Canis lupus familiaris: one gene and its partner. The protein of the gene in region 1 interacts with the protein of each later gene in a pairwise test. Links are inferred from orthologs where the notes say so. Each region holds a gene or a part of one and is shown on either strand. Other genes may lie near its edges.

Region 1 (8,098 bases):
ATTATTCAATCAACAGCTATTCGCCCAAGTGCCTTCTCTGTGTTCAGTCTGTGCTGGGGAGCACTGGGGACACAGTGGTGCCTGAGACCGTCCCCTCCTGGGACTTACATTCCAACGTGGGAGACAGACCTGTCCTCAAGACAGCGATGACCCAGAGTGGGCAGGGCTGAAACGTGGGGGAGCCCGGGCGGCTGCCAGGCCCCTGTGGGGGCGGAGAGGGCTTCCTGGAGGAGGGAACAGCTGCACTGGAGCTCAGAGAACAAGGGAGCAGAGGGCAGGTGGGCCTTGGCTCTGAGGGAAGAGGCGGGTCTGCGCGGCAGCCTGAGGCCGGGATCACGGACCAGCAGCGCCCTCTGCTGGAAGCATCCTGAAGGGAGCGGTCGAGGTACTGCAAGGGTTTGGAAAAGTTTGGCGTTGAACCAAATTCTATGATCTGAGATCTGAGATTCCTGTGCGCCCAGCTTTGGCCGATTTAAGTTTCTAAGACTTGATTCATTCAACTACTCAGTGAGCAAGCACTTTGCACCGGACTCTATTCTAGCGCTAGTGATGCAGTGCTGACCATACAGAGCCCTGTCCATACAGTACCTCATTCAGTCTTCGCAGCCTTTATCCCCATTTCACAGATTCAGAGAATTGACACACACAGAGGTTAAGTTACTTGCCCAAGGCCTTCACTACCAAATGCTGAAAATCAACTTCGAACCCAGAGCCCAATTTCTAGTCCTTGCAATTACCTCGCTAATATATTATGGAATGAAATATCGTATGACCAAGTTACATAAAATAATCTTAGGTCCTGAGAAGTTTTGTAAACAGCAGGCAGGGGAGGGACACCTGTGTGACTCAGCTGGTTAAGCATCTGCCTTTGGCTCAAATCGTGATCTCAGGGTCCTGGTATCGAGTCTGGCTCCCTGCTAAGTGGGGAGGGAGCCTGCTTCTCCCTCTCCCTCTGCCTGACGCTCCCCTGCTTGTGCTCTCTCTGTCTGTCAAATAACTAAATCCTTAAAAAAGAGATGAAGCAGGGAAATGGAGTAGTGTTTTGGTGAGACAGTGTCATTAGAAAGGGCAACTAATATTCAACAAAGGAGGAAAGACTATCCACTGGAACAGTCTCTTCAATAAATGGTGCTGGGAAAATTGGACATCCACATGCAGAAGAATGAAACTGGACGATTCTCTTACATCATACACAAAGATAAACTCAAAATGGATGAAAGATCTAAATGTGAGACAAGATTCCATCAAAATCCTAGAGGAGAACACAGGCAACACCTTTTTGAACTTGGCCACAGTAACTTCTTGCAAGATACATTCATGAAGGCAAGAGAAACAAAAGCAAAAATGAACTATTGGGACTTCATCAAGATAAGAAGCTTTTGCACAGCAAAGGATACAGTCAACAAAACTAAAAGACAACCTACAGAATGGGAGAAGATATTTGCAAATGACCTATCAGATAAAGGGCTAGTATCCAAGATCTATAAGAACTTATTAAACTCAACAGCAAAGAAACAAACAATCCAAAAATGAAATGGGCAAAAGACACGAAGAGAAATCTCACAGAGGAAGACATAGACATGGCCAACACGCACATGAGAAAATGTTCCGCATCACTGGCCATCGGGGAAATACAAATCAAAACCACAATGAGATACCACCTCACACCAGTGAGAATGGGGAAAATTAACAAGGCAGGAAACCACAAATGTTGGAGAGGATGCAGAGAAAAGGGAACCCTCTTGCACTGTTGGTGGGAATGTGAACTGGTGCAGCCATTGTGGAAAACTGTGTGGAGGTTCCTCAAAGAGTTAAAAATAGACCTGCCCTACCACCCAGCAATTGCACTGCTGGGGATTTACCCCAAAGATACAGATGCAATGAAACGCCGGGACACCTGCACCCCGATGTTTCTAGCAGCAATGTCCACAATAGCCACACTGTAGAAGGAGCCTCGGTGTCCATCGAAAGATGAATGGATAAAGAAGATGTGGTTTACTATACAATGGAATATTCCTCAGCCATTAGAAATGACAAATACCCACCATCTGCTTCGACGTGGATGGAACTGGAGGGTATTATGCTGAGTGAAATAAGTCAATCGGAGAAGGACAAACATTATATGGTCTCATTCATTTGGGGAATATAAAAAATAGTGAAAGGTAATAAAGGGGAAAGGAGAAAAAATGAGTGGGAAATATCAGAGAGGGGGACAGAACATGAGAGACTCCTAACTCTGGGAAACGAACAAGGGGTAGTGGAAGGGGAGGTGGGTGGGGGTGGGGGTGACTGGGTGACGGGCACTGAGGGGGGCACTTGATGGGATGAGCACTGGGTGTTATGCTATATGCTGGCAAATTGAACTCCAATAGTTTTTTTTTTTAAAGAAAAAAGGGCCAGTAGGGAAGGCCTCTCGGAGGAAGCGGCCTTTGTGAAGCTACCAGACTAACGAATGGCGTCTGTGGGAATAGGGGGGGCCCAGGCAGCGGGCACAGCCGAAGGCAAGGCCGGGCGGCGGGCGCTGCTAGAAAGCCCTCGGCCTGGGATCCCTAGTTTCCAAGGGTCGAGCTGCGCTGCACCCCGGCTTGGCAGCCTCCAGCGCGCTGGGCTCGCGCTCAGATTCGACGGGCCCGACAGGCACGCGGAGGGCTTCGCGGGTCCGCTGCTGCGCTGGCGCTTCCCCCGCGGCGGGCGGGCTGGGCTCCGCGGGAGCGGCGGGGGGCGGGGCGGGCTCACCTGCGGGGGCGGGGCTTCCGCCCGCCCCGCCCCTCGGAGGAGCCGCCCGCGGCCCGAGACCCAGGGCGCAGCTGGGAGCCGCCGGGCGTGCGCGGTGTGCGGGACGCGGCCCGGCGCATCTCGGCGGAGCGGGTCCCGGAGCCGCCGGCGCTCAGGTGGGCCCCTCGAGTGCTGGGCGGGGGAGTCCCGGGGACCGCGAGGATGGGGGCGGAGGGTGAGGGCTGGGCCCCGCGCACCCTGGGGCCCGCTGGCCTGGCGACGGGGACGGGCCTTGGGGCTCCTGGGCCCCCTGGGCCCTCCTGCCCCGCCCTGGGGCCCCCCCTCCCGGGTCCCGAGGCCCAGCTGGGGCCGCGCCCCCTCCCCGGTGCGCAGGTAAACAGGAGCGAAGACGGGGCGGGGCCTGGGGGGAGGAGGGCGGGGGCCCTTGTGACGGCGGGGGTGGGGAAGCCGGGGTGCGCGGGGCTGGGCCAGGCCGGCCGCGGTAAGGTGTGCGGTTTAGGGGGCTGGCCTGCAGGTGCGGGCGTGGAGATGGGGCGTATGAGAGGCGGTGTGCGAGGCTCAGGTGTGTGTGATGGTGTACGAAGCTCAGGTGTGTGCGCGACGGGCTCCGGCGGTGGGTGCGGGCGAGGAAGGGACAGGGATGGTCCGTGTAACCGTGTGCGGGCGCCCAGGGACTGTGGGAACGACGTGGAGCTGTCTCAGATGCAACACGTGGGCGGACCTCTGTGCGTCTAATGATGGGGGTGGGGGCCGTGTGTATGGGAGGGAGTTGCTCTGTTTATAGGATTAGGTGCGTGACTCAGAGCTTGCGTGGCTGGGGCGGTCTTTCTGCCTGTTAAGGCGCGGGGAGCCGCAGGGAGGTGGGCGATGTGGGACCCGCATGGACGGGGAGGGTGTGCCTGGGATTAACACTGTCAGCTGTGCGGTTGTACGTGTGTGAAAGGGAGTTTGTTGTTCACGGGACTGAGTGTGGGCAAAAATCATGGGAATAATGGAGCTGTCTGAATGACTCCATGAACGTGTGATCGTAACTTTGTGGGGCTTGTGTGTGACACGGAGTATGGTGAGACATGTACACACATATATACGTATAGTGAGAGAGACTGGTGTCTGCACACACGTATATGTAGAGATTGATGGCAGGGGAGAGCCTGCAGTGTAGAAAATCCGTGGATTATGTGCCTGCCTTCCTGTGTGTCTTGGTGTATGATGTTCGTGAGCAGGTAAGTAGGTACCCAAACCACTAGGCTGCTTACGGCGCCCTGGTGGCTTGAGTGAGGCACATGCCCGAGAGGGTCTATGCAAACACCTCTCTGTGTCTCCACAACTGAATCTGAGTTCAGGAATTGTCTGTATGTCCGTGTTTGAAGCTCTGTGTATCTGTGTGTATGCTGTGTGCAGGTGCGTGAATCTCTGGCTGGCCGGGCAAGGTGTTGGGGGAAGTGGGGAAGGAGATGATAGGTCCACAGTGAATCCCAAGAGTGTGTGTGTGTGTGTGTGTGTGTGTGTGTGTGTGTGTGCGCGCGCGCGCGCATGCGTGCCTGGAGGAGGTGATGGGCATGTAATGGAGAGCTAGCTGCTTGCAGGACCTTATAAGTGCGGGAAAGGTGTGTCATGGGGGTAACTGCAAAGAGATAGCCTGAATGTGAGTGATTTGGGATTTGGTTATCTTTTCACTAGTGAGGGGGGACAGAGTTTCTGTGTGTGTTGGCTTTTTTTCCCAAGAGGAAAATACACCAGTGTGTGGGATTATATTTCCAAGAGGGGAGAGCATACATGTGTTGTTTCTGAAAGAGTATGTGGGTGTGCGTGCACGAGCCTGAGTAAGTGTGTTGCGTTTTTTTTTTTTTTTTTTAAGATTTTATTTGAGAGAGAGAATGAGCCAGGGGAAGAGCAGAGGGAGAGGGAGAAGCCTATTGTGGGACCCAATTCTGGAACCCCTGGATCATACTTGAGCTGAAGGCAGGCGCTTAACTGAGCCACCCAGGCACCCTTGGATTAGGTTTTTTGAAAGGAAAATGTGGATGTGTAGGATTGTATTTTTATTTTTTAGAGGAGAAAGAGAGTGTCCTGTATGTCTTGCTTCAGAGAAAATGTATATTATGTTTTTAAGAAAGAAAGGAGTGTGCATGTTGAGCCGTCTTCTTGTAGAGGGGAGTGTGTGTGTGTACGAGCAGGTGTGTTTCTGAGAAAGTACGTATATATTGCACTGCATTTGAAAAAAGAAAGAGCAGGTATTCAGTTTCTGAGAGGAGGAGAACGTGTGTGTCGCATTGTGTATTTAAGAAGGGAGGGTGTGCGTGTGTTGGGGTCTGTTTCTGGGAGGGGAGTGAGTGTGCTTGTGTGTGAATACAGAGGCTACAGAGGCTCCAGCAGCTGTGTCATTGACTTTGTCACCTACATACAACCACATAAAGTGCCACACATGAGACCCCCACCCATTAGCATCTAGGCCTCAGACTCTGAGCTGTCACAGGGCTAGTGTGACATCCATGGGCCGTGCCTGTCACACGTGTGTCCCAACATGCCTTGGGCTGGCGGAGCCTGTCTGCAGTGGAGGGTGGAGTCCTTGTTCCCTTGGGATCCATCAGGCCCTGGGAGCTGACACACAGGCACCCCCCCATCCCCCTAAATCTAGAGGGCTCCTCTGCTTCCAGTGCCCCAGCCCCTTGGCCCTCTCCTCCGGCCCCACCCCTCCAGCCCCAGTGGTCCGACTGGTTCCCAACAAAAACACCCTAAGAATGAGCTCACGGAGAGGCCGCCTCCACATGCCCCGCCCCACACACCCAGCAGAGGCGTGTGCCTCCAGTCCAGGTCACACGGGGAGTCCTGGGGCCAGGTATCTGGGGCCCTTGGGATAGACAGGGCTGGCCAGGTGAGCTGAGGGCAGGTGAGAGGCCACGAGACCACTGGTTGCCCCAGATTTTGAGTGGCCCTCAGGGCAGGGCCCATGGCTGAGGACAGGCAAAGCTAGACTAGAATGTTTCCAGTTGCCAGCTGGCTGGGATGGGTGCGGGACAGGGAGCCGGCCAGGGTGAGGAGGGACTGATGGGCCTGCTTGCCTGGCCCTGACCCCCCAATCCCTGCTACCCACCCCAGGAACAGCAATGTCCGTGCAGGTGGCAGCCCCTGGAAGTGTGGGGCTGGGCCCGGAGCGCCTGAGCCCCGAGGAGCTGGTGCGGCAGACGCGACAAGTGGTGCAGGGGTTGGAGGCCCTGCGAGCAGAGCACCATGGCCTGGCCAGGCACCTGGCGGAGGCGCTGGCAGGACAGGGCCTGGTGGCTGGCTTGGAACTGCTGGAAGAAAAGCAGCAGGTGGTGAGCCACGCGCTGGAGGCCATCGAGCTGGGACTGGGCGAGGCCCAGGTATGGGGGGGGGAGCAGCTATCCAGCCATGGGGGGGGAGGCTCAGAGCTGGGAGGAGGCCCGGGATGAGGGAGGCAAGTATGTAGGGGGTGATGAGCCTGGAGCAGGGGAGGCCTAGGGGAGCCAGGCCTGGGGAGGAGGGGTTCTAGGCTGGAAATGGGATCCCTGGGTGGCATTAGGGGGTCCTTTTGTGTGACAGGAGCCCCTGAACCAATGGCATCCATCTATAGAACTGTAGATTCTAGGGAGATGTTGGGGTCACATGGGTAGGATATGAAGTGGCCCTACACGTGATTTGTGTGCCTGAATGAAATCAGAAGGGTCCCTGGGTGGGGTTTGGGTGTGCCCTTGGGAGTTTCTGCACATCCTCAGAGTCACTTGGAAGGGCCAAGAGTTGGGGTGCTCTGGCATGACATGAGGCCCTGGGTTGGGCCAGGGACTGCCTGGTAGGAGAGGGACTGGGCCCCTGATCCCCGGCCCCCTGCAGGTGCTGCTGGCCCTGTCCGCGCACGTGGGCTCCCTGGAGGCGGAGAAGCAGCGGCTGCGAGCGCAGGCCCGGCGGCTGGCCCAGGAGAACTCGTGGCTGCGGGAGGAGCTGGAGGAGACGCAGCGGCGCCTCCGGGCCAGCGAGGAGGCCGTGGCCCAACTGGAGGAGGAGAAGAGCCACCTGGAGTTCCTGGGGCAGCTGCGCCAGTATGACCCCCCTGCCGAGAGCCAGGTGCTGCAGGGCTGGGCAAGCCAGGGGGCCCCCATCCTCCTTAGATCCCCCACAGACCTGTACCACTCCATGGAGCCCCCAGTGCCCTAGACCCTCCAAAGAAGCCCTAGACCTTCGACAGGGTTCCACAACCCCCAGACTCAGTAAAATTTCCACAGAAGCCCTCCCAGCTTCCACAAAATCCCCAGATCTTCCCCAAGCCCTCAGAAACCCCCCTCAAACTCGGAGGTCCAGGACCCTGGTCTCTAAAGCAAACTCCCAGCCCTCTTTGACTCCTCACTTTCCTGCCCTCTGCAGCGGCCTGAATCCCCTCCTCGACGAGACAGCCTAACCCCCCTGTTCTCCAGCGAGGAGGAAGAGAGGAAAGGTGGGTGTGGGGGAGCACGCAATTGTTGGGCCACTCGGCCACGGAGGATAAGAGGCTGAGGCCGGGGAGGGACGGAGACCCAAGGTGGATGTCAGGGCAGGGCGGCAGGAGCATGAGGCAAGGGGCCGGGCCAGGGCGCATGACAGCCGAGGCTGGAAGCTGTGAAACCAGGCGTGCCACAGCCGCACCCGCCAGGCGGACCCCGCGTTCACATCCCATGAACCAATCTCCAAGGTCAGTGCGGGGATCCGTCATCCCAGGGACCAATGGGCCAGTGAGGCAGCTATAGCCCTGGAGTATGTTCCTCTTTTTGGGGATGGGAAGGGTGGGAGGCTGGCAGTGACCTGATGTCCATCTGCCACTCGCAGGCCCTGAGGCAGCGGGGGCGGCAGCGGCTCAGCAGGGTGGCTACGAGATCCCAGCCCGCCTTCGGACCCTGCACAACCTTGTGATCCAGTACGCAGGGCAGGGCCGCTACGAGGTTGCTGTGCCACTGTGCCGCCAGGCCTTAGAGGACCTGGAACGGAGCTCGGGCCACTGCCACCCCGATGTGGCCACCATGCTCAACATCCTGGCGCTGGTGTACCGGTGAGGGCTGCGGCCGGCCACGGACCCATTGCTGGGGGCAGGGGAGCTGGCGTCCCACTCTGCCAGCATGGGGCACCTGGATTGGTGGTAGCAGGGGGTGTCGACAGGGATCTGGAGAAGCCAGTGATCCAAGCAAGGAGTCAGACAACCATAGGCAAGAGACCTGTGGGGGCTGGAGGCTTGACAGCAAAGGGACCCTGTGCCAGACTTGGAAAGTGTGGCTCACAAGCGACCATGGAAGGGCGCCTGCCACCCAGGCTTGGCCCGGCAGGTGCTGCCCCAGCATGTCTGACCCCCCTCCATCCCTGGGCCACATCACAGGGA
Region 2 (6,219 bases), on another chromosome or scaffold:
AGTGGGAGGGTAGGGATTAGAAGTCAGTATGTTTCTCTGTTCTGGGGAAACGGAGCCATGTGTTAAGCGCTTTGTATGAGACAGTTGTCTGCGAAGCTTTAGGTGCAGTAGCTCTGACACTTGTGACCAAGTCCCCTGGGAGCTCCATATGACCTTGAACCTTGGGGGCCAGCCTGGGCTCTTGCCAGGGTCCTGGTAGAAGTCTTGCCTCACCTGCCCACTTCCTCACCCTGTTCTTGGACCAACCCCTGGGCCATACGGGCAGGCACCCACTTGGTGGGGCACCTCAAAGGCCGGCTGTGAGATCTGGGCTGTGGGAGAGCCGAGCAGGCAGGAGGGAGTCAGAATCTCCAGTCCTAGATATCCCACGTGGCCCTCATCCAGTCTCTCCCCACAGATGGAAGTGTTTCAGGCTCTGCAGCGGCTCCACATGACCATTTTTTCCCAGAGTGTCTCCCCCTGCGGGAAGTTCCTGGCAGCTGGCAACAATTACGGGCAGATAGCCATCTTCAGGTACCCTCACCCCTGCTTCACCACACAGTAGTAGTTCTAGCACTTGTACTCTCTGGGACTGGCGCCCTCGGCTTCTGACTCTCAGGCTCCCCTCCCCTATTCCTTCAGCTTGTCTGCTGCTCTGAGTTCTGAGGCCAAAGAAGAAAGTAAGAAGCCAGTGGTGACATTCCAAGGTGGGTGCTGCCATTGTGTCTGGCTTAGAGAACCCCCAGGTAGGGGAGGGCAGCAGGACAGGGTCACTCAGGGTCTTCATTTCCATCTAGCCCATGATGGACCGGTCTACAGCATGGTCTCCACAGATCGACATCTGCTCAGTGCTGGGGATGGGGAAGTGAAGGCCTGGCTTTGGGCAGAGATCCTCAAGAAGGTAAGGAGTGTGGAATTGGGGGATGGGCTGGGGTGCCTGGTCCCAGAGAGCCTCTGACCTCATGTAGCATTTCCCTCCACCAAGGGTTGTAAGGAGCTGTGGCGGCGTCAGCCCCCATACAGGTGAGTGAGAGCCATGTGGGTAATGGGTAGAAGGTACTTGGGGGTGAAGGGACTGCCTCACCAGAGCTCACCTCGTTTTCTCTCTCCCAGGACCAGCCTAGAAGTGCCTGAGATCAATGCTTTGCTTCTCGTCCCCAAGGTCTGAGCCCTTTGTACCGGGGCTCTGCCCTGCCCAAACTTAAAGCCTTTTTCCTCTCCCTGTCCTGATTTGATGCTGACTTGCGATTCCACCCTTCCCTCTTCTGCAGGAGAATTCTCTCATCCTGGCAGGGGGAGACTGTCAGTTGCATACAATGGACCTTGAGACTGGGACCTTCACAGTGAGAAGGCCATGGAGCTGGGGTGGTCAGGGCTGGATGGTCGTAGGGTCATTCTTCCTGGATCTCCTGACACTGGGCTTCCTCTTGCAGCGGGCCCTCCGGGGCCACACAGACTATGTCCACTGCCTGGCGCTGCGGGAGCGGAGTCCCGAGGTGCTGTCAGGTGGAGAGGATGGAGCTGTGCGACTTTGGGGTAGGTTAGCGTAGTGTCCGGTTGGAGGGAAACATGGCAACGGAGACTGGGGTGAGCAGGATGCTTCTCATGGTTCTTCCCGCACAGACCTCCGCACAGCCAAGGAAGTCCAGACCATCGAGGTATATAAGCATGAGGTGAGGGCACGTACCAGGCCCCGTCCTCCCTTTCACCGCCCTGGGCATCCCCTGTGTCTTCATCTCCTCCTCTCTTCTCCTCCTCACCCCTAGGAGTGCTCGAGGCCACACAATGGGCGTTGGATCAGCTGTTTGGCAACTGACTCAGACTGGATGGTAAGCGGGGCAAGGTGCAGAATGGGTGACCACTCCGGGCCCTGCCAACTGAGGGACTATGCTCACAGTGGTTGGGGCCCCCCACCTTTCTGCCCAGGTCTGCGGAGGAGGCCCAGCGCTCACCCTCTGGCACCTCCGATCCTCCACACCCACGACTATTTTCCCCATACGGGTGCCACAGAAACATGTTACCTTCTACCAGGACCTGGTGAGGCCCTCTGTCTTGCTTCTGCCACCTTTGCCCAGTATCCCTCTCCAATCCTGACTCCCGACTCCCTCCCTGCCCTCCAGATTCTGTCAGCTGGCCAGGGCCGCTGTGTCAACCAGTGGCAGCTGAGTGGGGAGCTCAAGGCGCAGGTGCCTGGCTCCTCCCCAGGGCTGCTTAGCCTTAGTCTCAACCAGCAGCCAGCAGCACCCGAGTGCAAGGTGGGTCCTGCAAGGGGCTGTGGGGGTCCATGGGGGGGGGTAGGGCACGTGTGTGTGGACATGCCAGCCACTGCCCTCCTGCTTCCAGGTCCTGACAGCCGCAGGTAACAGCTCCCGAGTGGATGTTTTCACCAATCTCGGCTACCGCGCCTTCTCCCTGTCCTTCTGACCTCTGGCAACACCCCTTCCATCATCCCAGGGATTTAGATTGCTTTTTTTTATTTTATTAAATAAGTAAATTTTTAGGCTATTGTTCCATGCATGTTCTTCTCAAGAATGGAGGCTGAGTTGGTGTCATGATTTTTATATATTACTCTGTTTGATCTTGATACATAAATACCCACCCTCATCCCTGCCCTGCAGCGCGCCAGGCCCTTAGAAAATATAGACCTATAGAGATTCAAAACTCAGCTCTGCCTCACCTGCCCCGCCACCTACCTGGGGCCCTTGGCCCCCAAAGCTGGTCCCTGCTCCCAACGAGCCTTTGCCCAGCTTCCCGGGGTGGGGAGGGCACCAGGCCCCTCTGGAAGACGCTCAGGACCATTAGAGGAAAGGAAGCCAGAAGGCACCGGCGGCCCCCATGGCCCGGCCTTCAGGTCCTTCGGAAGAGGTTGCTTAGGAAGCCGCCGGCGGGCCCAGGACCCAGGCGCAGCGAGAAGCGCGGGGCGGCGCGGCGCGGGACGGCTCCCGCCGCACTTAGCTCCTTCTGTCGTTGGGAGCGCAGCTGCTGGCCGATCACCACCTGCATGTCGTCCTGCGGGCGGGCGGCTCAGTCGGTCCGCGTGGCCACGTGTCGGCCACGCCTCCCAGACGCCGGCCCCGGCCCCGCCCCCGCCGGCCCCGCCCCTCACCTGCCAGGCCTCCAGCTCTTGCGTCAGCGCCACCTTCTGGCGGATAGTGCGAAGCAGCTCCCGGGAGAGCGAGTCCCGCTCCAGAGAGACGCGGCCGAGCTCCAGGGACAGTTCCAGCGCCCTGCGGGCAAGAGGGGCAGAGAGTGGGCCCGGGGGTGGCGGGAGCTGCCGGACCCGGACGGGAGCGGTGCGGCTAACACCGAAAACAGGGTCGGAGGGCCGCTGGTGGGTGCGGAGGCCGGGGTGGACGGTGGAGAGGCTCACTTGTTCACAGCTTCGTCCCGGTCCGAGAGGGCGCCGCTGAGGGCCTCGTCGGGGTCGCCATGCGTCCGCAGCTCCTTCTGCCTTTGCAGCTCCTCCCGCAGAGACTGTAGCTCTGCCCGCTGCAGCGCGACCTGTGGGCAGGGAAAGGTGAGGAGGGGCAGCCAGGCCCTCCGCCAGCCCCACAGACCCTCCCCGCAGCCGCAGCCTGTGCTGGAGACCAAGCTGAGCCCCCGGGCTGGCGCAGGGTGAGGTGGGGCAGGGTCGGTTGGGTGGTGTAAGTCTGCAGAAAGGATGCTGGTGGAAGCACTAGGAGGTGGGACCAAGGAGGGGAATGTGGTCCAGGAAGTCTTCCTGGAAGAGGTGGCGTACGGCCAGCTCTTGAAGCATGACTACAGGTTTGTTGGGATGAAGATAGATCCAGGTAGAGGGGCGCAGGCTCAGAGGTGTAGATGGGCAAGAGAAACTGGCGTTGGAATGGGCTCCGCGTCCAGCGCTATGCTCCCACTCCCACACCTCATCCTGAAGCCCGGCCACTTCGGCCTCCTTCTCCTCTAGTATATCCCCTGGCCTCAGGGATGCTCGCTTCTTGGGAGGCTCCAAGCTCTCCTCTTGGGGCGAAGGCTGGTGGCTGAACGCTTCTTGGATCTCGGGGGACGGAGTGTTCTGTTGACCAAAGGGATGGGTCAGCGAGGTGTCGGACCTCCTGCGCGAAGGGGGCGCGGCGGAGTCTGCAGGGCACGGGGGCCGGGGGGCGCCAGCTCACCGGGGCAGCTCCGCGGGCGTCAGCCTTCGGGTCCTGGCCGCTGTCGAGGCTGTGAGCCAGCTCCGACTGCAGTGAGGCTCCCGACAAGTCGGCGTCCCGAAGGCGCGACTCCTCCTCCAGCTCCGAGACGCGCCTCTGCAGCCCCCGCAGCGCTCTCAACGCCTCCCCCGCCTCGCAGCGCGCGCGCTCCAGCTGCGGAGGGACAGACAGGCGGACAGGAGCATGCGCAGTCCGCCCCGTGCGCCCGGCGGCCTCATCCCGCCTCGACCTGCTGGGGGCGCCGGCGCGCCACCGAGAGCCGGGCAGCCCGCGCGCCGTGGCGCCCCAGCAGCTGGCTCCTCTCTGGACGGCCGACGGCCGGCGGCCTTGGGCGCGCAGTTGCCCCTGGCGGATACCAATTTCCTCATCTATAAAGTAGGGTGCGGACAGGTGCCCTCGCTTTAAATTTTCCCATCACCCTCCCTCCAGCCCCGCCCCATCAGGTCACCTGGCAGAGTCCCTCCCCTTCCCCCGACCTGTTGGCCCAAATCGTTAATGGGTCATCCAGCGCCCTACTCGTGTCTCACCCTCACCGCGGCGCTCTACCATTCCCATCCCATCTCGCAGACAAGGAAACTGAGGCTGGGCGTCCCACAATAGTAAGAAGGGGTGTTGGGATAAGAGCCCATATTATTTGACCACAAAGACCTCGAACATCGGCCCATGCTGCCTCTTGTCATTTCCTTTTGCTCATCTCCACTGCCCCAGACCTAGTCCAAGTCCCGGTCATCTCTGGCCCCAGCCTCCGCCCTGGCCTCCCAAGTGCCAGGCTCTGATGCCCTCTAAAAGCATACCACCCCTGCTCAATACCCTTCTGAGGCTCCCACTTGCCCTTTGGCTAATGCCCAGGCTCTCCTGGCCCAGCTTCTGGGGCTCCCAGTGATCCAGCTTGGCCTCATCTCCCAGGAAGCCCTGAGGCAGTGGTCAATGCCCTGGTCAGATGCACCCACCCCGCCCAGCCCCACTGGTCACCTCCAGGCTATGCTCTCGCTTCTCGCGCCTCAGCAGCAGCAGCTCTTCATGGGTTGCCTGTAGCCTGCCCTGGCCCTTCTCCACCTCCTCGCGCAGGTCCCGGATCTGGGCCTCCAGGTCCTGCCGGCGGCTCTGCAGCATCTGGTTCTGGGGAAAGACCTCAGGGCTGGAGGGGAAGTGCTGGGCCAGCCCCAGACGGCCCCCAGCCCCAGCTGGGACTCACCTCCCCTTGCAGACTCTCCAGCCGCATCCTCAGCTCTGCTCCTGCCAGGACCTGAGCCTGGCACTGCCCCCGAAGGCCATCCAGTTCCCTCTGAAGTTCCTGCTCAGTCTGGGAGGCCTGTAGAGGGGAAGGCGGGGGAGGCCTCGCTGGTCCAAGCCTTACCACCAAGCCCAGTGCACCCACCCCCACACGGGGACACAGCCATCTGCCCTGGTCCTGCCTGGGGATGTGGGGTCAGCATGCTCCCACCTGGGCGAGCTGCTGGCTGAGCCGGAGGTTCTGCTCGCTGAGTTCAGTGAGGGCCCGTGCCCGCTCACGCCCGCTGTCCTGCTGCTCTGAACGCTGCTCCCCGAGCTGGGCCCGCAGGGCCTCCACGTCCCCCTCCAGCTCCACCGCTCTGGCCTCCCACTCGGCTCCCCGGGCTGCCAGGCCCTGGCGGAGCTCATGGTTCTCCTGCTGCAGCCGCTGTGGGGCCGCAACACAGAGTCAGGGACAGGGAGGTGAGGCAGTAAGCACGCGGACCCAGAGGGCGTCCGAGCGGGCCGAGACACGCAGACACGCCATGCAGGGAAGCCAGCTGGAGGAGCAGGCAGGGAGCCTAAGGCAGAGTCTCGGGGAGGTGGGTTTCCAGGTCAGGAGGAGCTGACCGGGACCGGAGTGGAGCGGGGCTCCCCGATGCCCACTCACCTCTGGCTGCTGCCTGGGCTTCTGGAGCCGAGATCGCAGGCGCCGTTTTTGGCGTCTGAGTCTGGCAGAATGGAAGCCCCGGCCCATGGCCTCGCACACCGATGCTCCAGGGGCTCTGGAGGTTCAGCCTCTGCTCAGCCCCTCACCCCCAGCGCCTCTTGGCCAGCTCCCTCTAATTAACCCTGG

Evidence for each region.
Region 2: the proteins of KLC3 (region 1) and BICDL2 interact in binary tests that used the Homo sapiens proteins (3 or more experiments, as listed by UniProt). The two-hybrid records come from large-scale screens. The link is inferred for Canis lupus familiaris from reciprocal best matches to the Homo sapiens genes KLC3 and BICDL2.

The regions. Positions count from the first base shown.
Region 1 is NC_049222.1:110,904,880-110,912,977, reverse strand, and holds the start of KLC3 (kinesin light chain 3), read left to right. Parts: upstream 1-3,221; 5' UTR 3,222-3,264; coding exon 3,265-3,325; intron 3,326-5,835; coding exon 5,836-6,101; intron 6,102-6,588; coding exon 6,589-6,819; intron 6,820-7,116; coding exon 7,117-7,186; intron 7,187-7,554; coding exon 7,555-7,774; intron 7,775-8,095; coding exon 8,096-8,098. UniProt on the Homo sapiens protein: Kinesin is a microtubule-associated force-producing protein that may play a role in organelle transport. Plays a role during spermiogenesis in the development of the sperm tail midpiece and in the normal function of spermatozoa.
Region 2 is NC_049227.1:38,602,427-38,608,645, reverse strand, and holds the end of BICDL2 (BICD family-like cargo adapter 2), read right to left. Parts: intron 5,812-6,219; coding exon 5,596-5,811; intron 5,464-5,595; coding exon 5,347-5,463; intron 5,271-5,346; coding exon 5,124-5,270; intron 4,305-5,123; coding exon 4,113-4,304; intron 4,013-4,112; coding exon 3,863-4,012; intron 3,481-3,862; coding exon 3,350-3,480; intron 3,207-3,349; coding exon 3,086-3,206; intron 2,989-3,085; coding exon 2,827-2,988; 3' UTR 2,523-2,826; downstream 1-2,522. Other genes in the region: THOC6 (THO complex subunit 6 homolog), read left to right, coding at 398-513, 622-686, 777-880, 965-1,002, 1,093-1,141, 1,251-1,322, 1,413-1,515, 1,603-1,652 and 4 more.